Sus scrofa: one gene and its partners. The main gene of each other region encodes a partner of the protein of the gene in region 2 in a complex. Links are inferred from orthologs where the notes say so. Each region holds a gene or a part of one and is shown on either strand. Other genes may lie near its edges.

Region 1 (8,074 bases), on a different chromosome or scaffold from region 2:
AGGGATCGAGCCCACATCCTCACGGATACTAGTGGGGTTCATTACCGCTGAGCCACAACAAGAACTCCCAGCCCTATTTTTATACATACCATAGACAGATTTCCCAAGAACCCAGAAGACTGTGTAAGCCGGGGAGACCTCCCTCCAGTTCCAAAAATGCTGGAAGCATCTGGTTGCCTTAGTAAGCTTCGGTTTGGTGGAGTAACTACAAGCAAGAGGTTAGTAAAAAGAATTCAAAGTGCATGAGCATCGATCATGAAAACATGAAAAAACAGAGAATAAATAATTTCCATTTTTCAATTACTTAGATTCTAACCAAATGAATAACTTTCAATATTAACATTTCCATGATATGAATATTTAACTTATTTTTCTAAATACCCAAACTTTTGGTATTACTGAAACTACCAGGAAAAAATTATTACTGCAAACAGAGATGCTTTCATTACAACATAACTTAGCATTAATGAAGGACACTAAGGAGCCCATGACTTTGTCGAAGCATACGACAACTACAGTCTAGAGGGGAAAGATGTGGAGTAAGCAGATTACAGTTTGAATTTTGGTCCCATTACTTACATACTAAGTAGCTATGTTATTTGTAGGAATCAGTTTCTCTAAGTCTCACTTTCAGTTTTGGCAAAACAAAGATAATACCATGTCATAGTTATTATGTATCTATGTAAGTACAGTGTCTCACACATGGTAAGAGTTCAACAAAGAGTAACTGCAATCATTATTTGTTCTTAATTATTGATACTGTAGCCAAAGAGAATGAGATGCTATTATTATTATTATTATTAAATGCCTTAAAAGCAAAACAACTTACAAGGTGGTCGAAATGAGCTGGGAGTTCGGGGAATAACCTGGTTTCTTGGTGTAGTATTAGTAAAAATTTCATCTTGGGATGCCCGAACTATAGGAAAAAGTTAAGTAAAGTTTTCCATGTAGAAAAGACACCATTAAAGTTGGAATGAACCATATTTAGACTAAACAAAGTATGTAAATTACAATTTTTAAGAACATGCTATTTTATGGCTAACATTGTTCCTGTGCAAAGAACAAACAATTCCCTTTCCCATTTAAATTCATAGTTATGAGTCTTAGATTTCTACACATTGAACTAAGAGATTTCAAATAATAAAAAAACAATCTAGGAGTTCCCGTCGTGGCATAGTGGTTAACAAATCTGACTAGGAACCATGAGGTTGAGGGTTCGGTCCCTGCCCTTGCTCAGTGGGTTAATGATCCGGCGTTGCCGTGAGCTGTTGGTGTAGGTCTCAGAAGTGGCTCGGATCCCGCGTTGCTGTGGCTCTGGTGTAGGCTGGCGGCTACAGCTCTGATTCGACCCCTAGCCTGGGAACCTCCATATGCCACAGAAGCGGCCCTAGAAATGGCAAAAAGACAAAAAATAAAATAAAATAAATTTTTAAAAATTAAAAAATAAAAATAAAAAATAAAAAAACAATCTAATTTCAGCAGAAGTTAATCACAATATGATAGCAGTAGAATGGAACATTCCTATTTTCAGGGAAATATGAATTCCACTGAATTTCAGCATTATATTTACCAAATAACATATGTGGGGAGTTAAAGAAACAAAACCAAACCTATTTTCCACAGCATTTTATTACTATAGCTAGTGCTTAATATCTCTCATAAAAATAAAATTCTATTAATTCTAATTCCAAACAAGTTGCAATTTTTATTCTGATGCTTAAAATGCAAAGGATACTTAAAACTCTTTTTTGGGCACTCTGTTTGCGTGCAGTCCGAGTCACCTCTGCCTCCCGGATCACAGGGGATAACATCTCTCCAAAGCCACTCCTAAAATTGCATAATCAAGTTCATGTGAATGAAATGAGAATGTAGTATTTGCAAAAACACATTATCGTCATGATTGGAGCAAAAGACCCTGAGTCAGTCAAGGTGTAGATCACCTCAGTAGCCAAGTCTTTGATTTTTTTTTTCTTTTTGGTCAGGCCTGGGACATGTGGAAGTTCCCAAGATAGGGATCAAACTCGTGCCAAAACAGAAACAATGCTGGATCTTCAATGCACTGCCCCACAAGACAATTCTCAAGTCTTTGATATTTGTGTTGACAATACCCTTCTGGCTCCAAATCCTGCTTATCCTTCAGAGTCCTGCTCATATTTTACTTGTAAAAAGACTTCTTTGACTTTCTAGCACTTGTTATTTTCTCCTACGGAATTATTAACACTTGGAATCTAATCTAGATTATAACACTGTTTTAGATAATTGCGATCGTCGTACAACTATAAATGTAAAATAATTCATTGAGTAGTAAAAAATAAATTAGCAATAAAATATCTAAAACAGTGATCAAAACTTTAAAAAAAAAGATAATTGCTTCATGAAGGTAAATCTTTTTTTTTTCTTTTTTTTTTTTAGGTAAATCTTTTCTTATTGGCTTGAGGAGGTCCCTAAAATTGAAGGAACTATCTCTTAAAGGGATTTTCTGTTGTCTCTAGAATACTCCAAACCATGGGTACAACTATTTGAGCTGGTGACTTGGGAGGCTAAGTGAAAAAGAATTCTAGTAAAGTGGAGAGAATGACCCTTCGAGTTATTTCTCCCCAGAGTACACTAAGAGTACAGCGCTACTGTAGTCACAACGCCCCTGTCATTCTCCACCCAAAGTCTAAAAATATTGTGCGAATTATGAGACCTGTATCTTAAGACTCTAATATGCATTTCCTCTACTTAAAATCTTCAGATAGCTATCTGTGGCCTACAGAATCAAATTCAAACTTTCAAGCACAGTTTTTACAATTTGATTCCAGCTTACCAGTTCAGGCTTATATTCAGCCACAAACATCACTCCCATACAAAGCTACAGTGAATGTGACCATTCAACTATCCTTTCATATCCTTACACTTTTGTACGTATTATTTCTCTTACAGAGGCCTACATTTGTCTCCTTGGTCTACCTGGTGAATATTTACTTATCAAACAGCCTCCTGGAGTCTGGACACACACAGATCTAGGTTGGTGTCTTGGTTCTCTTATCTGTTAGCTTCCTAACTTTGACCAAGTTCCTTAACCTCTTTTAGCCCCAGTGCTACCTATGAAAAGAGGATCGCAGTAACTATCCTCATAGGATTGTTAGGGAGATTAGCTAATAAAACATTTAAAGCGTACTCATTGTAGGCTAATGTTATTCAAAGACCAACTAGAAAGTTATCTCCTTTGAGAGGTCTTCCGCATACCTTCCAGGACAGGGAGACTTCCGTGCTCCCTCATTTCTCTTCCCAAAGAGCAGTACCAAAAACACCACTTTGTACCGCTCGGTTGTCTCCTCCACTACGCATTCTCCAAGGCCAAAAAGCTTAAATAACTCATCTTTGTCGCAGGTGCCTAGCATAGAGCCAGTGTCACAGAAAGAACTCAATACAGTTAACTATGTGATGCTGCAACTTGTAATGAGAAGGTCTGGGCTGAGATCCCAGTTCCGTCACTGACTGGCTTTGTGATCTCCGGCAGGTAATAGCATCTCGAAGGCCGGGCCACCTCCTACCCCGCCCACCCCAGGAGGGAAAACTGTTGCGCGAAAGTGAACAGATGGTGGAGTCAAGCGGAAACGCAGGGGATTATCATTATCCTTATCCCTCCCAGACCTAGGCAGCCTTTCTTCCATCAGCTGTAGTCCCCCAGCCCAGAAAAGAAGTCCCGGGTCAGCATCCGGGCCTTCCTCGGTTTCCTCCGGGAGTCGGGTTTCACCCATTTCGTTCCTCCAACGGGGAGAGACAAGTGTCCGAGCCCAGCCGTCATCACCAGAACTAACCTGTCCATGGCCACGGCCTTTTCCAACGAGAAGCTTATAAACTCAGATCCAACCTAGCCGCCGCGTTTCGGCCTTCCCGCTCTCCGGAAGCAAACCCTTTGACCCGGAAGCATAGCCTCGCTAAGCCGCTGTAGGAAAAGAGTTGAGTAGCGGGCGGGGAGAAAAAAAAAAAAAACAAAAAACCAGCTCTCCCCTTTGGCGCATGCGCAATTTCTTTTTGCCAGGGGCAGGCGGTTCGGTTTGCGCAGGCGCAAAGGTGTATCTTGTGGTCGACCCAGCCGGGCTCAGCCGGGCAGGGCCAGGGGCGGGGCAGGAGGCGGGACCTGACCGGGTTTAGTGGCGCTGCTCGGCCGCCCCTTTGCCTGATTGGCATTTGTGGGCGTGGTCCAGAAGTAGGGTTCTCCTACTGGGATACTTGACTTGTATTGATAGTTCAGAAAAACGTGAAGTCATTTCCTGGTATTCTCTACGAGAAACAGCCCAGATTTGGAATTGAGATGTGCAGGCTCTGCTCTACACCTCGGGGGTCCGTGTCTCTCTCTTCTTGTACTCATTTTGTTTGAACTGTAGTGTAAACCCCCTACAGGTTTTGAAATTGTTTTCTACAATGGCTATTTGTTCTTCACTTGCTATTTTTCCCCATTAAAGAAAAAAGAATCACTTGTCTTAAAAAGCATGAAAGATGATGGTATTGCCTTCTATTTCAAAGTGCCGGATAGGCAAAAGGTAATATATTCTGGCCCTGAATCAGTGGAAGTTTGGCGAAAGGCATTTACATTATGCTCTAATCCTGGGAAACGTAGTTCCCAGGAAGACGTCTTCATACCTAATTCCCGCTGAGACGACGTGGGGTTTTAAGAAAACGTGGCTTTGGGCTCCAGCTAGGCTCAGAACCCCTGAGCCGCATATTTCTCATCTGTGGAAAGGAGATAACGCCTTTATCACTGAGTTCTTGGGAGGATTAAGAAGCGATGTCCAATGTGCATTGCATACAGCACTCATCGAAATGTTAATTTTCTCCTCTTCCAATAACAGCTTGATCCCCCCCACCAAGTGCTCTCTTGTTTTTTTTCCATCTATGAATTTCCTTGTACAAAAGAGCATTTGTTCTTTTATGGAAACTGAAATGTGGTCTTAATGGTTTTTGGTCAGGGCCAGAGGCAGGTTTATTCAAACTATGAACCAGTGTTTCAGGTTCTTGCTTTGTGTCCTCTGGCAAATGAATTCCAATGTTTGTTTGTGTGTTTAATTTTTAGTTGATTTACAACGTGCCAATCTCTACTATGCAGCAAAGTGACCCAGTCATACATACATATATATTCTTTTTCTTATATTAATCTTCCATCATGGTCTATCCCAAGAGATTGGATATAGTTCCCTGAGTTATACAGTAGGATCTCATCCAATATGTTTTATTCATATAATATACTTGAAGTGTGTAAGGCACACAATAAAAGGGAAGAGCAGTTTGGGGCATTAACTCGGTGTTTAATTCAAGTGAAAAGAGAGAATACTTGTGGAAAAGTGCGCTGAGGTTCATTTTGACATGATTACCAAGCATAAACACCTTACTACCCTTAAATGTATCAAGATATATTCATTTTATTGCCTTAGAATTATGTGCAATGAATTCCTTGTGTGATGCATATCATACACATTCTAGCTTTAATATTAGGGTTCTTCTTTTCAGTGACAGAAATTCACTAGGGCTAACTTAAGCAAAGGGAAATTGACTAGAAGCCCATCACTGAGCTCATGGAATTAAGAAGCTGGTGGGAAAAGCTTGGGAAAGCAGACTTGTTCAGGAACTAAAGACCGGGGATTTAGCCATCCCCAAAGCACTCAGACTTGAACTACTGGATTTGGAGGAACTTTTCCTCTCCCTCACCCCTAACAGCTGAGGAAATCAAACATCATTATGTTTTTCCTCCTCCACGACATTTATTTTTATTTATTTAACCTCTTTTTAGGACCGCGCCTGCGGCATATGTAACTTCCCAGGCTACGGATAGAATCAGAGCTACCCCTGCCAACCTATGCCACAGCCACAGCAATGCCAGATCCAAGCCGCATCTGCTCAGGGCAACACCGGATGGATCCTTATCCCACTGATCGAGGCCAGGGATTGAACCTGTGTCCTCATAGATACTAGTCAGGTTCTTACCACTGAGCCGCGACAGAAGTCTTCCACTCCTTTTTTTTTTTTTTTTTTTTTTTTTTTTTTGCCTTTTCTAGGGCCGCTCCTGCGGCATATGGAGGTTCCCAGGCAGGAGTCTAATCGGAGCCGTAGCCACCGGCCTATGCCAGAGCCACAGCAACGCGGGATCCAAGCTGCATCTGCAACCTACACCACAGCTCACGGCAATGCCGAATCCTTAACCCAGTGAAGGAGGCCAGGGATCAAACCTGCGTCCTCATGGAGCCTAGTCGGGTTTGTTAACTGCTGAGCCACGATGGAAACTCCTTATAGTAAACATTTTAAAAAACATTTCAGGAAGCAGGTTTTTTTGTTTTGTTTTGTTTTGTTTTTTAACGTCCCTTCTCAGTCACACTTCTGTTTGGTATATTATAAATAGCTGGTTAGCGGTTTTCTTAGTATAGATCCAGCAGATGTAACTATGACAGAAAGATAAGAAAATAGAGGCAAATGGAGAAAATTAAAGAATTCTATGATCCCATTAACTATATCTGACCACAACCACATGAGAGACTGTCATCAAAAATCATCTGAGGAGTTCCCGTCGTGGCGCAGTGGTTAACGAATCCAACTAGGAACCATGAGGTTGCGGGTTCGGTCCCTGCCCTTGCTCAGTGGGTTAACGATCCGGCGTTGCCATGAGCTGTGGTGTAGGTTGCAGATGCGGCTCGGATCCCACGTTGCTGTGGCTCTGGCGTAGGCCGGTGGCTACAGCTCAGATTCAACCCCTAGCCTGGGAACCTCCATATGCCGAGGGAGCGGCCCAAGAACCAAGAGACAGCAACAATAACAACAACAAAAAGACAAAAAAAGACAAAAAAAAAAAAAAAATCATCTGAGGAGTTCTCGTCACGGCACAGCGGAAATTAATCCGATTAGGAACCATGAGGTTGCAGGTTCAATCCCTAGCCTCACTCAGTGGGTTAAGGATCTGGCGTTGCTGTAGCTGTGGTATAGGCTGGCAGCTGTAGCTCCGATCAACCCCTAGTCTGGGAACCTCCATGTGCCTCAGGTGCAGCCCTAAAAAAAAAAAAGGAAAAAAAAAATCTGAAGGAGGATGCGGTGTAGGTCAGCAGCTGAAGCTCTGATTCTACCCTTAGTCTGGGAACTTCCATGTGCCTCAGATGCGGCTGAAAAAGAAAAAAGAAAAAAAAAATCTGAAAGATCGCAAAATGTTGGTAGTGGTTGTCTTTGGTGAGACTGGATGACCTTTGTTGTATTGTTATTTAGTTCACTGTGCCCTTTTTTTTTTGGCTTCCCCATGGCATATGGGATCAGATCCCAGCAGCAGTTTCGCTTTATGCCCCAACTGCAGCAACACCAGATCCTTTAACCCACTGTGCTGGGCTGGGATAGAACCTTTGTCCCATTGCTGCAGAGATGCCACCATTGTGCTACAGAGGGGATTCCATGGGTTTTTTGTTTGGTTGTTTTTTTAAGCAGTTTGTTTTCATAGCATAATTCAATTGAAATTCAAATTTAAAAATAAACTTTTTTTTGGCTGCACCTGGGGCAATGAAAGTTCCTGGGCCAGGGATCGAAACCTCATCTCTGCAGCAATCTGAGCCATTTTGGTCAGATCCTTAACCCACTGTGCCACAGCAGGAACTCCCAAAGAAATATTTTGATAAATTCTTAAGAATTCTAATTAGTCAGGAGTTCCCGGCATGGCGCAGCAGAAGCGAATCCAACTAGGAACCATGAGGTTGTGGGTTCGATCCCTGGCCTCACTCAGTGGGTTAAGGATCTGGTGTTGCCGTGAGCTGTGGTGTAGGTCGAAGACGCGGCTCGGATCCCAGTTACTGTGGCTGTGGTGTAGGCCGGAAGCTGTAGCTCCAATTGGACCCCTAGCCTGGGAACCTCCATATGCCACGAGTGTGGCCCTAAAAAGACAAAAGACAAAAAAAAAAAAAAAAGAATTCTAATTAGTCAGATATAAATCTACTGAATTAAATTATGGTAGGTGTTTAAATATATTTCGCCACTTCCAAAAGATAGGATTTTGAATTCAATTGTAAGATACACCTCAGCTTCTATAAAACGTAAGTAAGTACTTAGGTATTAACAGCTG
Region 2 (6,751 bases):
AGCAAATCCGGTAATGGGCTTGGAGCCCGGGAGGCAGCGTGAGGCTTCGGAGACCCGCACAGGGACGTCAGGAAAAGCATCTCAAGTCCTGCCTCCCAGGCCCTGCCCCTCAGAAGGCACGCTCTCTCCCTCCGGGGCGCGGCCCTGCGAGCAGCACCCTGTCGTCAGCACCTCCCGCCCTCTGCCCGCCGAGTTCTGCACGTCCGCAGAACCCAAGAGCTGCTGCGACCCGCCAAGCTTCCAGGACAAGATTTTGCAGCAGGAAAAATGGCCGCAAGCTACACACGCAGAGCAAAACCCAGCATTTTCACATATCAACACTCCTGCATCCTTATTTAAATGACGCAAAACTGGGAAAGATACTTACGAGCTAGACGATCCAAAGCTGAAACCTGAAAAAGAGGGAGAGGGGGCCGTTAAGCCACACGTACGTTTGAAAGACAAAGGTGGTCTCCAGGCCACGTTCTTCCCCGTGCGTTTCCCCAGGGAAAGCCCTGCTCCTCCGGCCGCGCGGGAAGGGCCGTGGCCTTCTGGGTATTGCAGGGTCCTCCCTCCTCCCCGACCGGCGTGGGCAGAGGGCCTTCGGCACGGCCCCCTCCCTGCCGCACCCACCACACAGGTCCCCCGCGTTAAGAAAGCGTGGTTGCTCCTCCCCCTACTTTCCCATCCACCCGCCTCCTCCTCGTCTGAGGCCAGAGCAGCAAGACACTCGGGTTCTAGTTTTCGTCTTTTGTCTTTTGAGGGCCGCACCTGAGGCACGTAGAAGTTCCCAGGCTGGGGGTCGAATCGGAGCTACAGCTGCTGGCCTAACCACAGCCACAGCAACACGGGATGCGAGCCGCGTCTGCGACCCACACCACAGCTCACGGCAACGCCGGATCCTCAACCCACTGAGCGAGGCCAGGGATGGAACCCAAGTGCTCACGGGCACCAGTCGGATTCGTTTCCGCTGTGCCACGGCGGGAAGTCCCAAGACACTTGGGTTCTAGACCTCGCTCTGCTGCTCACTGTCTGTCGCCCTGGAGTTTCTGGATCTTTGTTTGTAAAACAGTAACGAGGCCTATAACTTCTGTGTCTCACATGTATTGTAAGGAAAACAGCAGACCGTATATATCCTACTGTGTGCAGTGGAGTGTCAAACAGACGAATGACGTTTGGTAAAGTATGTGTTGTTTTTATTTTTCTGTATCTTATTTCTTGAGTCTGCTGGCTTAGATTTTTACATCAAGATCTAGTAGGATGGTTACTTTTTGGGAATCCTCAAATCCTGAGAGAAACATCAAGTGAGCCATCTCATTATTCGATAAGAAACGGCATGTTCCAAGTCTAATCAAAACCTTAAAAGAACACGCTGTCTTCCAAGCACCTTCAGCCTTTCACATACTGGACTGAACGGCCAGGAAAGGCCCCCCTTCTTTGGGAAGGGTTGGGGGCCAGGCGGGCATTTACCGAGGAAACCAGGAGGGCCCCTGTGCGGGAAGCTGTCTGGCCGCCTACCTCCTCCGCCTGATCCAAAGCCGGAGAACCCCCCGCTCTGGGTCCCAAACCCAGAAGACTGTTGGGACAGGGAGCCAAAAGTTGGAGCGTTCTGACTCGCCAGGGTGCCGAAGGACGTGGTGTTGCCGCCGCTTCCAAACCTGGGTTGGGGTGAGAGAGCAGACCGTGTCAGCGAGGCCACGGGGCCCCCCGCTGCCCAATGGCCTCAGTCCGTCCTCCTGAGTCCTGAGAGGCACGACACACACGATTCGAGGTGACGGGCTCGGCTTAATCTGGCAGCCTCTCAGGGAAAACAGGCTAGAGCCCGGCGCAAACCTTCCCCTCCGCTTTGGGGGAAATACAGTCTGAGGACCCCTGGTCCAGTGTTTCAGTCTCCATCTGACTGTCTGGAAATTCCAGGTCACTGGTCCTGCTCTAATCCCACTCCTGCCTCGGGCCTCTCTCATCCAACCGTGGGGACTCCTCAGATGCCAGCCGGGTCAGCGACGGCGTCACAGCCCGGGACCTGAAGAAAGGTGACGGCTCTTTTGGGGATTCCGACCAGAGCTGGCGCCAGGGAGCCAGCCAGTCAGGATGTACATGGGAGAGTAGCCTCCCTGGTCAAGGCAGAGCATGATCCTTTCTTACCAGTGAAGAAAACAGCTGGTTTCAAATAAACAAACAAACCCTCGAGATTCCCAGTCAGCTGCAGCATCACGGGCTGGGCGGTCACTGGCGAGACGAGTGTCCGTCAGAACTGCCAAGAATACTGGCTTAAAGGGATCCCAACCCTCCCTTGAAAGCGTTCCTTAAGTCTTGGGGTTTCCTGACTTCCTGGGAGCAACTCAAAAGACCCATCAGTCTCCATGCAAAATCCAAAAAGTAGGACTTGCTCGCGTTCCTCGAGCCTCTCCAGCGCTTCTGAGCCAGCATCTTCCACGGGGGGAATGGCCATGAATAAGGACCACCTAAGGTTTTTTTTTGGCTGTGCCCGTGGCACAGAGAAGTTCCACAGCAGTGACTACACAGGATCCTTAACCCGGCGAGCCACTGGGGAGCTCCAGGACCACTTAAGTTTATTTTCAAGACAAAGGTGCTATCGCCTCACCAACACGCAACCCAAGCACCCTGCCAGGTCTCCCCAACGCTTCAGCTTTACACGTCCTGGGCCAGTGCGGAGGCCACCGGAGGCCCCTCTGACGTGGATTTCAGACATTACTACCTCCTCTGAACGGGCCTCTTTGAGGCCATCAGCACGTATGTTTTAGTGGGGCTGTGGGCTATGTTCTCCTTGGGGTTTTGGTAAGCAGACAATTGCTAGGGCCCTTAACAGCAAGTCTCTAGAATGGCATTTTCAAGTGAGGCCATGCACAGGCAGTCTGAGCAGCTTCAAAGGCTGAGCAGTCCTGAGACTGCGAAACGCGTGCGGGGTCTCGGTGCCGCCTGCTGTGGAAGCTGGCCCAGGGGCTGCGGGCCCAATCCCTGCCCTGCGCGGCTGCAGTGGCGCAGGGGACACAAGGCCTGGTTGGCTCAAGGACAGAGGGTCTTCTGCACAACAACCCCGAGAGGAAAGAATCTGGTGAAAACGATTCATTCGGAATTTCCTATCAGAAGTCATCACACAAGGGTCAGTCCGGGCTGGAGCCAGCCACGGTGAGACGGATTTTCTTCCTGTAACCAATCCTCCGGCTCCACCCGGAGACCAGGCATCCACCAACCAGCACCCTCTGTACCGAGGGACGGCCACACAGCTGATGGGATCGTGTACTCGACAGAGCCTGGCTTGGCAGAAACGGGCCTGCCGCTAGGAAGAACAGGAATCCTAGAGCGCCTGGTTGGCTGATTTGGACGGAGGGGCTTTCAGCTCAGTCAAAAGTAGAGAAAACAGAACTTTCCAAAACAGGAGCACCGGGCCCTGGTGCTTTGCTGACCTGAGCTTGAGGGCTTCCCCAGGCCTCTCCCGGGGGGCTTACCCGAATCCTCCCGCGCTGGCGGCCGCTGTACCCTCTCCGAACACTTTGCCTCCCGTCGAGCCCAGAGGGCTTGTAAAGGCTGGGGCTGAACCGAATGCTGGCACCCCTCCAAACCCAGGGGATCCCCCAAAAGTAGGAGGGCTGCCAAACACTGGAGCAGCACCGAAGCCACCTGAGCAAAACAGAGGCAAACAGAAATAGGGAGAAAGAAAGAAGACAGGAAGAGAAGACAGTGAGCAGTGAGAAACCAAAAGAGGAAGGGAAAAAAGGGAAAAAAACATTAGAAAGTCAAATACAAAAAAGTATAGCAAAGGACAATACCCCTTCTCCAGCAAAATAATAAAACCACCCCGGATGCCAAACCATGACCACCCACCCTCCACAGCCAGCAGAGGGGTCTGGGGTCCACTTAGGAGAGCTCCCTGGAATTCTGAGAATCTAGCAGACCCTAGACGTCTGGGAGACCCCCGGTCCCTCCCAGAGGCAAGCTGGACACGTCAGCGCCACGTCTCCCTGGAGAATCTGAATGCCACCAAGAACCACCTTGGTGCATGTCAGACCCCTGCCCAGCCCCTCTGCATGTTCTGGGCTCCTCAGTGAAAACCCTCAAGACTCCAATCCCCACCCAGCTGTCAGAGGCCGCATCTCATTACTTAGCACCGTGCAGGCTGGGCGCCTGCTCCAGGGAGACACAGACTCTGAAACTGGAGGCTGAGACCCCGCTTCAGGGAGAATCTGGGAGCTGCGTTAGTGGAGAGGCATGGCCCTGGCGCCCGGCCAGGCGCTTTTGACTAATTTAGAGCCGCCTGGCTCTCGCATCTCTCCCTGGAGTCTCTCTCCCATACGGAAGAATTTTTTTAAACGCTCTCTCTGCGCAGTAAGGGACGACTCCTCAATCAAGAGGCACACGGTGCCTGGAGGAGGGCTGCTGCAGGAACGCGAGAAAGCGATCCATCAGCCGCGAGGGGAGCCCCGCATCCAAGACCCCCCCCACCCCCGGGTGGGCTCCGGGGCCCCCGGCGCAGGAAGGGTCAGGCCTGCGCGGGGTGGCCTCCCTGACTGGTGGAGGCCCACGAGGCAGGAAGAGCGGCTCCGTCTTCTGCTCCGGAAAGCGGGTCCCCAGGCCCCGAGCTGCTGCTTACATCATTCCTGGCCATTAGTACGGACACTCTATCACATTCTAGACTCTCCCTACATATTATACAGAGCAAGTGTCAACTGAACAGCACGGGGCAGAATGGACCAAGAAATGTGCTCTCAAGGACTGTGCTGCTGACAATGACGACTGGCCTAGGAGCTCTGGGGGCGATGGTGGCCTGGGCACAGCCACCAGGGGACTTGCCCAGGGACAGGGGACCTCATTCAGGCCCCTTTCAGAAAGCGAATCCTGCTGTTAGAGGGCCACTCAGGCCTTCTTACTCCAGGTATAACCACAGCCTGAGCTTCTGCCTCTGAATCGGAAAGATCAAATACTGGATATGAAAGGCTGTCCGTGGGATCCCTTCGCTCGCTGCTACCTGGGGTTCAATCGTTTGCCCATTTGCCTTTAGCAGCAGAAGCACAGACGAGATGGTACCTCCTGTGAGGCTCCTGTCTGGGTTTACACTCTGCGCTTTAAACCCTGAGTGAAATTCCAAGCCGTGGCGACGGAGGCCGCTGGGTTACAACTGTAACAGACTGGAAAAAAGAAAGTGCTAAAAACCCTTGCCGTTGAATTATTTAGGACGGACGACAGATCTGGTTACACTTTCTTCCTGGACCCACAGGCTTTACCTAGTGCCCAGTACTCAATACTGCTCCGAGTTCTCGGTAGAAGGTGAGTGAAAAGTGAGAAGTCGCAATGATACAGACCGTAAACCGGACAGGGGAGGGGAGGGGACACACGCGTGCACACGACACACCACAGCTGCCTATTCTCATGATTTCCTTCTCCAGAAGAAACAGGAATTTAGGAGTCATCACTGATGGTAACACTTCTGAGGTCTGGTTTACTGAGGGCCCTCCAGGGGCCAGCGGCCAGGGGCTGGACAGCAGTTTGCCTAAGGAACCCTGCATCCCTATGTCTCAGGTGAAGAAAATGAGGCTCACAGAACATGCCCCTTGTCGCAGCTGGGCCAGCTCGTAGGTGGCAGAGCTGGGCCTGGGACAAGGTCTCTGTGACTCAAAAGGCCGCCCATCATCTACCCACTACGTGCCAGGCTGCCACCCTGCACTGCCAGCAATGCCCGAGACAGAGCGATGCGGTGACCCGGGGGCGGCAGTAAGCTTGTCTGGAGGCTGTCCCGCCTGCGGGCCTCTCCTCCAGTAATGCCAGGAGGAGCATCTCCTGATGCAACTGCGCTCAAGGGACCAAGGAAGCTATTGGAATTATTTCAGAGACCAATGCAAACCATCAACCTAAAATCCCTTGAGTCTTCAATCAAGGTGATTTCATGGGGCAAGTATCAAACAGGAAAAGAAAATTCTCAAAGGTGAGAGGCCTGAAAAAATAAGAGGGGCAAGTTCTCCATTCAATCGGAACATGAGCCCAGGATAAGGAACAATGTAAAAGAAGAACACAAGAATCAGAGAAAACATTACCAGTTTCCTCAAAAAATAAATTCAGGAGTTCCTGTCAGGCTCAGCGGTTCACAAACCTGACCAGTATCCATGAGGATGTGGGTTTGATCCCTGGCCTCACTTAGTGGGTTAAGGACCCGGAGCTGCCGTGAGCTGTGGGGTGTAGGTCGCAGACGCGGCCTGGATCTGGCGTGGCTGTGACGGAGGCTGGCAGCTGTAGCTCTGATTCGACCCCTGGCCTGAGACCCTTCACATGCCTCGGGTACGGCCCTAAAAAAGACAAAAAATTAATTAAATTAAAAATTATTAAATAAATTCAAAAATTTCGATGATTAATAAGCTGCAACTTCTTAGTCAAATAATGTTGCCTTGTTAACTAGAACCAAAAGGTTCGTGGCCCTTTCATTCGAAAATCAACACTGCAGAAAGGGTGGGGTCGAAGTAAAGGTGTACTGTTCACGTCTAGTTCATTTTCAATTCTACGAAAGCGTATCAAAACCAGCACCCAAAGACGAAGCCACCCCGGGTTAGGGTCCGAGTGAAGGTCACAGTGCATTTGGAAACCACAGCGATTCAGGTTCTAAAAGGTGGGATTCCAGGTACTAATTTGGGGCAGCCCTGCTCCTCAGTCACAGCCACCTGGACACCTGCTCCTAGGGCGGGAGCCTTGCTCTGGAATCGTCAGACTCAGAGTCGCCCCCACACACAAGGGAGAAGCATCCCGCCCACTTACCTGTGGGCGT
Region 3 (7,850 bases), on a different chromosome or scaffold from region 2:
TTTTAGTTTTATCACAAAATATAGGCACACATTACATGGAAAGATATCCTTCCATAAGAAGCTATACAATAGTTCCTTGGTTAAAATCTTCAGAACAGAACAAAAGACAAAATGATAAATCCCATTTACAATGAAGCAATAAATCTTATTTTTTTCTTTGAAAATCAGCAAAAAATACCAAAAAAAAACCCAAAATTAAGATCCATATCATATATACTCGGTAACAAAATTCCACAACCGAGAGAATTTTTAAAATAGTTAGGTAATTTTCTAACAATTGATGATTACAAAGACTATTAAAATACACACCAACTTCATTAAAATCTTCAAAGGTGATTTTCCCCGTGGCTTCTCTGTCATAATCTTTAAGAATCTTCAGTATATCAGCTTTTTTTACATCAAACCCCAAGGCTCTCATTGCCACCTTTTGGATTAAAAGAGAAAAGCAAATTATAATGCATTTTTTACAAAAGTGATTTCCCATTCTCAAATAAGTTTTTAGTACTTAAAAGTTACAATACATCAATAAAACATATATTCTTTCGCATATTTTATGTCTCTAAAATAATAGTGATAGTTTTTCTTCAGTACTAAAATTAGATGGCAATTTTTTCATCTATATATCCCTTTTTTAATATGACAAACTAATCAATGAGTTTAGACAATACACTATACAATGCACTGACTTTTGTGAAAGATAATTTTAATGGCTTATTCATTTTCAAACTATTAACAATCAAAATGGAAAGAAGGTATAATATAAATATTAAAAAGTTATACAGAAGAAGAGATTAAAAAATTAAAATAAGAATTTTCATCAGATTCTCTATGACTAGTTATCAAGTAAGTAATCTAGGACCCTGAGCTTAGAGAAAGAAGAGATCTAGATACTAGTTACAAGTAATAAGAGATGGTTAAAGAAGTCTAATTTAGAAGATTATAGTTGTTCCTTAAATGGTGCACGAATGAAGTAGAGCAGAAGGGCATTTAGAAAAAAATGACTAGTATTAAAATACACACTAAAATAAAGAATAAGCTTGAAGACAGGGAATAGAGCAGTTCACCTTACCTGAATAGGAAGAGATTAGGTAGAAGAAAACAGTTAGCAAATGAGAAAAAAAGTAGGTCGTAGCAAAAGTGTGGAGGGCATTCAATAAAAATTTTTAAAAATGTGAACTTTACGGAGTATACAAAATAAAGCTTATGAGCAATGAATAATATGATGAAAGAATTTTAGAAAGATGAATTTAATGAGAGTGTACAGGAAAAAGAGAAACCAATTAGGAAGTTTCAGATATGAATTAAGATCCCAAACCAATATAATAACAATAGCAACAAATAGAAGAAACATTATTAAAAAAAAGAATTGATCAAAACTGGGTAACTAAAAGAAACTGTGAGTACAGAGCTATAAGAATACTATCTTCCTCATTGTGCTGAGTGTAAGATCCAACCTACCTTAAATACCAATTCCCCTTTGATTCTTTATAAATATTTCTAGAACCTAAAATTGACACTTTCCCCATTAGCATTGTGTCAACATCAGATATCACTTATGTTTCCTGCACCAGAGAAAACAGGATGAGACTGTTACCAACATGTTCAAATTAAAAAACGAGTAACACTCCCTCAATCTGAAAAATATGTCACCAAAAAAGAAGAAACACCAAAGTGGGAAGAGGAATACGGTAAGTATAGTTTAAATACCATAGCTTTATTTTTTTTAACTACGTGAATGAAAAATAAGCCCCTCCATAGGAATGTATTTTTACATTATACTATTCATTTTACCATATGAGAAGGAGTTTCTAAAAAGATATGCTACAAGTACTATTCAATTTTATTAAAAGCACTTAATGGTAAATGTTTAAAATGATTTCATATTTCCAAAACCAAATTAAAATATTTATAAATATATTTTTAATCAACTGTCAATATGCAAATCATTTTAACAGATAGAGGTCGAGTATATTACCTTTAATTCATGGTAATCTATTGCTTCATCTTTGTCCGTGTCAAATAGTTCAAAAGCATCTTTAATTTCTTGTTTCTGTTCTTCAGAGAGTTCTCTTCTTTTTTTCCTTTTTGTTTTGTCTACTACAAGCTCATTTCTATGAAATGAAGACAGAAAACCCTATTTATTGCACTTTAATCCCATTCTCCTATGCTTCTAAATGACTCAAATAAGAATCCAAAAATACAAAAAATTAGCCAATTAATAAATACCTAAATTTCTAAAAAGGAAGTATTTTCCTTACATGAAAGGAAGAGATTTTCCTTACATGAGTCAAAGCCCTGCTCTTCCCATCGACTAAGGTGCTATAAACTTGTGCTTCCTAAAACTGAAAAGTGTTAAGTTATTAAAGAAATGAGGACCTTACTTCCCTTCCTCCTGGCTTTTTATTTATTTCCACTAATATTACTATGGAAGAAACAAGAAATGTGAATAAGAAACATTAGTTTTATATCAGAACCCCCCCAAAAAAACAAAGCACCCATAGTTACTCGTTTTACAATGTCTGTTAAAAAAAAAAAAAAGAATTCACAATTGATGATCACTACATATTAGGCTTACTTTTATAGTGTTAATAACTATCAAAATTACTACAAAAAGACATCTAACTCATCAATTAACATAAACTCTTTTGGCATTGTGGATCAAAAGTGTTTTTAGATTACACATTTTTAAGTTTGGCATTTTATTTGCAATTTCTCCCACTGATATTATTAACAATCACCCAAAAAACTTAGCCTAAGCATACTATTAAACACCAGAAAAGTACATATTTGTGCTAACGCTATATAATAATGTGGAGTCAACTGTCTTGTAAATCTCACTTAACATATACATTTGGATTTAATTTTTCATAAACCCTGAAAAAGGCTGAAGAAAAAAAGGAATTTATTGTAAAAGCCAGAAATATCTTGAGATGTTCCAAATTTTCAAATAGGGTTGCAAGTTTGAAGCAGAAGAATTCTGTAAAACTTAGAAAATGTAAAAACCCAGTTGATTTTATTAGACACGTTATCTGTTTGCATTTTAAGTTGCTTTGTTCTCTGAAATCTACCACACACACACACACACACACACACAAAAGGCAAGAGATGACTAGAAAGTGACCAAAAGAGATATGATAAAGCTGAGGTAGATCTTGCTTTCACAGGAGACCCCACTTCACACAAGCCTGGACGTTCTGGGGGTCGGCCATTCTTTTCCCAAGATTTTGAGAGGACAAGTTCGCAAACCACCGACCACTGACCCCAGCCAAGGATACCACGATTATGCCTTATCAGAACTCGGTACCTTTTTAGTTAGGTGTAACTCTATAGGTATTTTTACGGTAACACGCCTAGTCGGAGTTGGGAAGTAGGCAACAAATGGTAGGTTAGTGGTTGGAAATGAGCGAAAAATAAACTCAGGGAATCTAAGAGATTACCAACTAAAAGCACTAAAATGGGTCTACTATTACATAGTGAAGCAAGGAGGGCTTTACGTTATTTCTAAAATCTACGGGTTAGATGTTAGCAGGAAGGGAGCTGCGGTGGAGGCCATAAGCGAAGGAATGACGGGAACTTTACTAAGGATGCTCCAAGGCCTGGTTTCCTAGTTCACATAAACAAGAGCGTAGAAACCTCGCGATATTTCACTGCCTCCTCGAGACTATAACAACCCAGGTTGTTGGGGTCCAAAGCCCAGTGGCCTGACAGAAATGACCGTCTAACTGCACGGAGCTCACCCGGGCCCCGAAGATGAGGAGTCTGGCCCAGGAAAGGTGGCCAAGGCTCCCTTCCCTCGTCCCAAACTGCATTCCCTTCCTTGCCTCGCCCCAAGCTGCCTCCCTTCCACACACACCCACCCTGGGGCCCGCTGCGTGGTGTGGAGAGCATTGCCGCCTCCTCATTACCGACCTCAGAGCTAAACTCATTTTCTCTTCGGCCAGAGACTTTCCTCTCGAGAACGACTTTAACCCCCTACTCAAAGCCGAACGACTTCCACAAGCGGTTCAACAGACAACGACCTAAGCAGCCTCAAGACCTCCCACAAGGTAGACATTTCTGAGCTGGATTGGTTGAAATAGCTAATGCCTTGCCCATTAGGGCGGAAGCGTCACTAGTCCTCTTCTCTCATTGGGCATTTTTCGCGTCAATCAAAGAGCTCTCCCTTTCGGCTCTCTTGCTGCCCCTCCCGCCTTTTAGGTTGACCTGTAGCGTAGCCCCCACCCCCTCCAATCCTTTGCGGAGCGAGGGTCTGAGTGTCCGCTGGGCTTTTCGGACTGAGGGTGACTGACCAAAGCCTCAGGAGAGAAGGCCTGCGGCATGTGGACGACGTCTGGAAACGGCGCAGGAAGGGAAGAGACACCCCGCAGGTTGTCCTGCTAGGAGGAGGAAGTAGCTTGTGAATGAGATCTGCGAAATTTGGCTCCACTCTATTCTTAAATTTTGGATGATTTAAATACATGGGGAGTTTGTTTAAAACTCAGATTTAAGTGTCACTTTCCTTCATTCTGATTCTAGTAGATGTGAATCTGCCTTTTTTCTTTTTCCTTACAAAATCCAAATGATTCTGAGGCAGGAGCTGTTAATTATACCTTTATAATCACTGGGTTGAATTATTAGGCTATTTACGGTGAAGCTGTGCCTAGATGGCAATTGCTCCCCTATACCTCCTTTGAGGTGCTTTGGTACTTCACTACCGAACCAAGTCTCTTGAAGCTCACTGGGGTATTTAATGTGTTTACCTGTTCGTCTCTCCTACTAATCTTGAAGGCCGGGGTTTCATTTAACGCTATTCCTAAGGCCTAGTACAATGTCTGATGCAGAGGTGCTCAATAAATATTGCTGTATTGAATGGAATCTTGCTATGGAAACTCACAAAGTACTGAGCTAAACTGCAAATCTCATAAAATAGCCTGAGAGTGTCCAACAGGGGAAGGGGGAAGATATATATAGAAGGGAAAGAACACAGCAGGATAGAAGAAAGACTTCTTGAAGGAGATGGCATTTATGTTAGGCCTAGAAGTTTGAACTAAATTTAGATAAGTAAAGAATGTGTTGACTTAAAAAAAAAAAAAATGCACAACCTAAAAGTTAAGTTTTGTTTGGGGCAAAATCAGGTCTTAAGCCCAGGAGGAAACATCTGAAGTAACCCAGAAAAAAACATTCTGCAGCGGGAGTAGGGGGGAATAAGGATATAGAGGAAGTTTTTTATTGTCATTGGGGTTTTGGGTTTTTTTTTGTTGTTGTTGTTTTTTGAACAAAGGGCAGGTAGTAGGAACAAAAGATTACCGAAAACTAGGTATCTCAAGTTACAGAATTAAGCCCTTTTCTTTGGGAAGACCCAGAGGTCTGGCCTCACTAAAATCATTCCTTTGATATGCACTTTAGCTATCTGGGCCAGTATCCCGTGTTTTCACAGCCTAAATTTCCTCACACTTTGCTGTTAGGAGTGGCTGTAGTCTGATGGCTGCAAAGTGACAGGTATTCTTTCTTTCCTGAGTTCCCTCAGGGCTCAGCAGCTTAGCCTTGGAGGTGGCTGCATTCACACAGCTCTAATAAATATAGCCTCAGAGAGGAAAGGGGAAATACCAGGATATAACTGGTGATAAAGGTAAAGGGGGAGGTGCATGCAGTCATGCATACAGTTTACAAAAATTTGCTACTGGCCTCATGAAGGTTACTACTAGTCATTAGAAGCAGACATCACCATGAAGGATTTCAGTGTTTTGCTTGATATGAGGAGATGCAAGAATTGGGCACATAAAATCTTTTCCTAAAAACGTTTGACTGTCTGAAGATCTGTTCTTCTGGTTTTCCCAGAGCACAGAGTGCCTCACTTCTGGTCTCTGCCCTGAGCTCCACTCCACTGCTGGTTGGCAGCTGCAGTGGCTCATGATTTAATGCATGTAGAGGTAGACAGCAAGTGCCAAACTCCAGTTCACAGTGGTATAATGGAATAAAGCTAAAAATTAATAGCTCCTCCCCCCAAATAAGTAGAAAACTTTAAATTTTAAGGTACTTTTATAAATCACATTTGAGTGTAAAAGGACACTAATATTGCAATTACATAATTACATACAATAATGTAATGACAGGGAAAAAACTATATATTAAAATTGTAAGATATAGACTAAGCTATAGGGAAAAATTATTTTATTATTAGATAAAAACAAAAATAAGAAAAACATTTATTTGAATATTTTTACAAGTGATCAAAATTATTTGAAGTTAGGAAGAACTAAAGATAAAACAACTTTTACTAAAGATAAAAGAACAACAACAAAGGAATTAGAAAACAGGTTTTAAAAAGAAAATTGTTTAATAAATTGGTATAATATTCTCATACTGTAATAATAAACTGGTTTTTGGCAGTACCAATAAAAATGGCAGAGTTAAGGAAGTGTAACAAGAAAGGGAATATTGCCACTAATAAGGGTAGTAGTTTAAGAGAGAGTTAAAAATTATTAAAATATTTTATACAGCTCTATATTTTCAACAAATATTAATACCAAAATGAAATAGTCACTTTTCAAGGAAAACGGAGATAAAGACTCAAAGAAGGTAGAAAACTAAATTAGGTTAATAACTGTAGACAGGACTTTAAAAAATGATGCCAGAGTTCTGTATCACAAAATAAAAAGGCATTCAGCTGACTCAGACTTATGAGTGAGTTTTAAAAATTCTTTTTTTTTTTTTTGTCTTTTGTAGCACCGCACCCGTGGCATATGGAGGTTCCCAGGCTAGGGGTCAAATCGGAGCTGTTGCTGCTGGCCACAGCCACAGCCACAGCAATGCCAGATCCAAGTCGTGTCTTCGACCTACACCACAGCTCATGGCAACGCTGGATCCTTAAGCCACTGAGCGAGGCCAGGGATCAAACCTGAAACCTCATAGTTCCTAGTCTGATTTGTTTCCTCTGCGCCACAACGGGAACTCTGAGTTTTAAAAATTCTTGAAGAGCTAATTCTTGTGCTTTAAACTCAAAGCATGATGGAGACCTTCTTAGCTTAATTTTTGAAGCTAGCACAATCCTTAGCATCCTAAAAAGCATTTAAAATTACTGAATTCATGCTCTGTGATGAGAGGGTATGCATGTTGCTCACTATTGTTATGTGCCCACCTCATATTTGATACACATTAGTGAATGTATGTGCAAAAGTCCTAGACAGTGGCAAAATCGATTTGGTATTGTCTGAAGGAACATTTCATTAAAACCAAATTTGGTGAACCAAACCAAATATACTTTATTTTAAAAATTAAAGATACGGAGTTCTCTTGCGTAGGGAGTTCTCTTGTATAGAGAGAACTATACAAGAGTTCAGCGCTGTCACTGCAGGGGCCTGGACCACTGCTGTGGCACAGGTTCAGTCCCTGGCCCAGGAACTTCCACATGCCACACGGAGAAGCCAAAAATAAATAAATAAATAAAAATGTAAAGATAGTTCAAAACAATCCTGTATTAATTAATCTTAATTAATGATACTAATTATGATTAATATCATAATTCTAGATCAAGGTGATAGTCTCAAATGTCCAAAATGGCACTGGAAAATACTCAACACCCATTCCTGATAAATATACACATTAATTAACGAAGTATAAAAGGTACTTTTTTAAAAACATGGTGCCTATTGTACCTAATAAAATGCTAGTGTTTCTCACACCTGGTCTTGAGACACCAGAATTTTGTGGAATGTTTACAGTCATTAGTGAAGAATGGATTTTTTGAGCAAATAATATGGGAAAATAGAATATGGTAATGAGAATGTAAGTCTAGAACCAGAGCCAAAAGTACATAAAACTTCAGGTTTAAGAAAATAGTGGCATTAATATTTGTTTAGTCTTCCTCCTGA

The links. The genes of interacting proteins can lie anywhere in the genome.
Region 1: NUP214 (region 2) and NUP107 share a complex: the UniProt entries of both Homo sapiens proteins name them as parts of the nuclear pore complex. The link is inferred for Sus scrofa from reciprocal best matches to the Homo sapiens genes NUP214 and NUP107.
Region 3: NUP214 (region 2) and CETN3 share a complex: the UniProt entries of both Homo sapiens proteins name them as parts of the nuclear pore complex. The link is inferred for Sus scrofa from reciprocal best matches to the Homo sapiens genes NUP214 and CETN3.

What each region holds. Positions count from the first base shown.
Region 1 is NC_010447.5:32,985,635-32,993,708, reverse strand, and holds the start of NUP107 (nuclear pore complex protein Nup107), read right to left. Parts: upstream 4,049-8,074; 5' UTR 3,815-4,048; coding exon 3,807-3,814; intron 1,828-3,806; coding exon 1,736-1,827; intron 917-1,735; coding exon 830-916; coding exon of another isoform or gene 829-829; intron 233-828; coding exon of another isoform or gene 206-232; coding exon 90-205; intron 1-89. UniProt on the Homo sapiens protein: Plays a role in the nuclear pore complex (NPC) assembly and/or maintenance. Required for the assembly of peripheral proteins into the NPC. May anchor NUP62 to the NPC. Involved in nephrogenesis.
Region 2 is NC_010443.5:271,203,135-271,209,885, reverse strand, and holds part of NUP214 (nuclear pore complex protein Nup214), read right to left. Parts: intron 3,622-6,751; coding exon 3,450-3,621; intron 1,638-3,449; coding exon 1,498-1,637; exon of another isoform or gene 393-1,497; coding exon 368-392; intron 1-367. UniProt on the Homo sapiens protein: Part of the nuclear pore complex. Has a critical role in nucleocytoplasmic transport.
Region 3 is NC_010444.4:97,589,273-97,597,122, forward strand, and holds the start of CETN3 (centrin-3), read right to left. Parts: upstream 4,049-7,850; 5' UTR 3,927-4,048; coding exon 3,910-3,926; intron 2,112-3,909; coding exon 1,976-2,111; intron 425-1,975; coding exon 310-424; intron 1-309. UniProt on the Homo sapiens protein: Plays a fundamental role in microtubule-organizing center structure and function. As a component of the TREX-2 complex, involved in the export of mRNAs to the cytoplasm through the nuclear pores.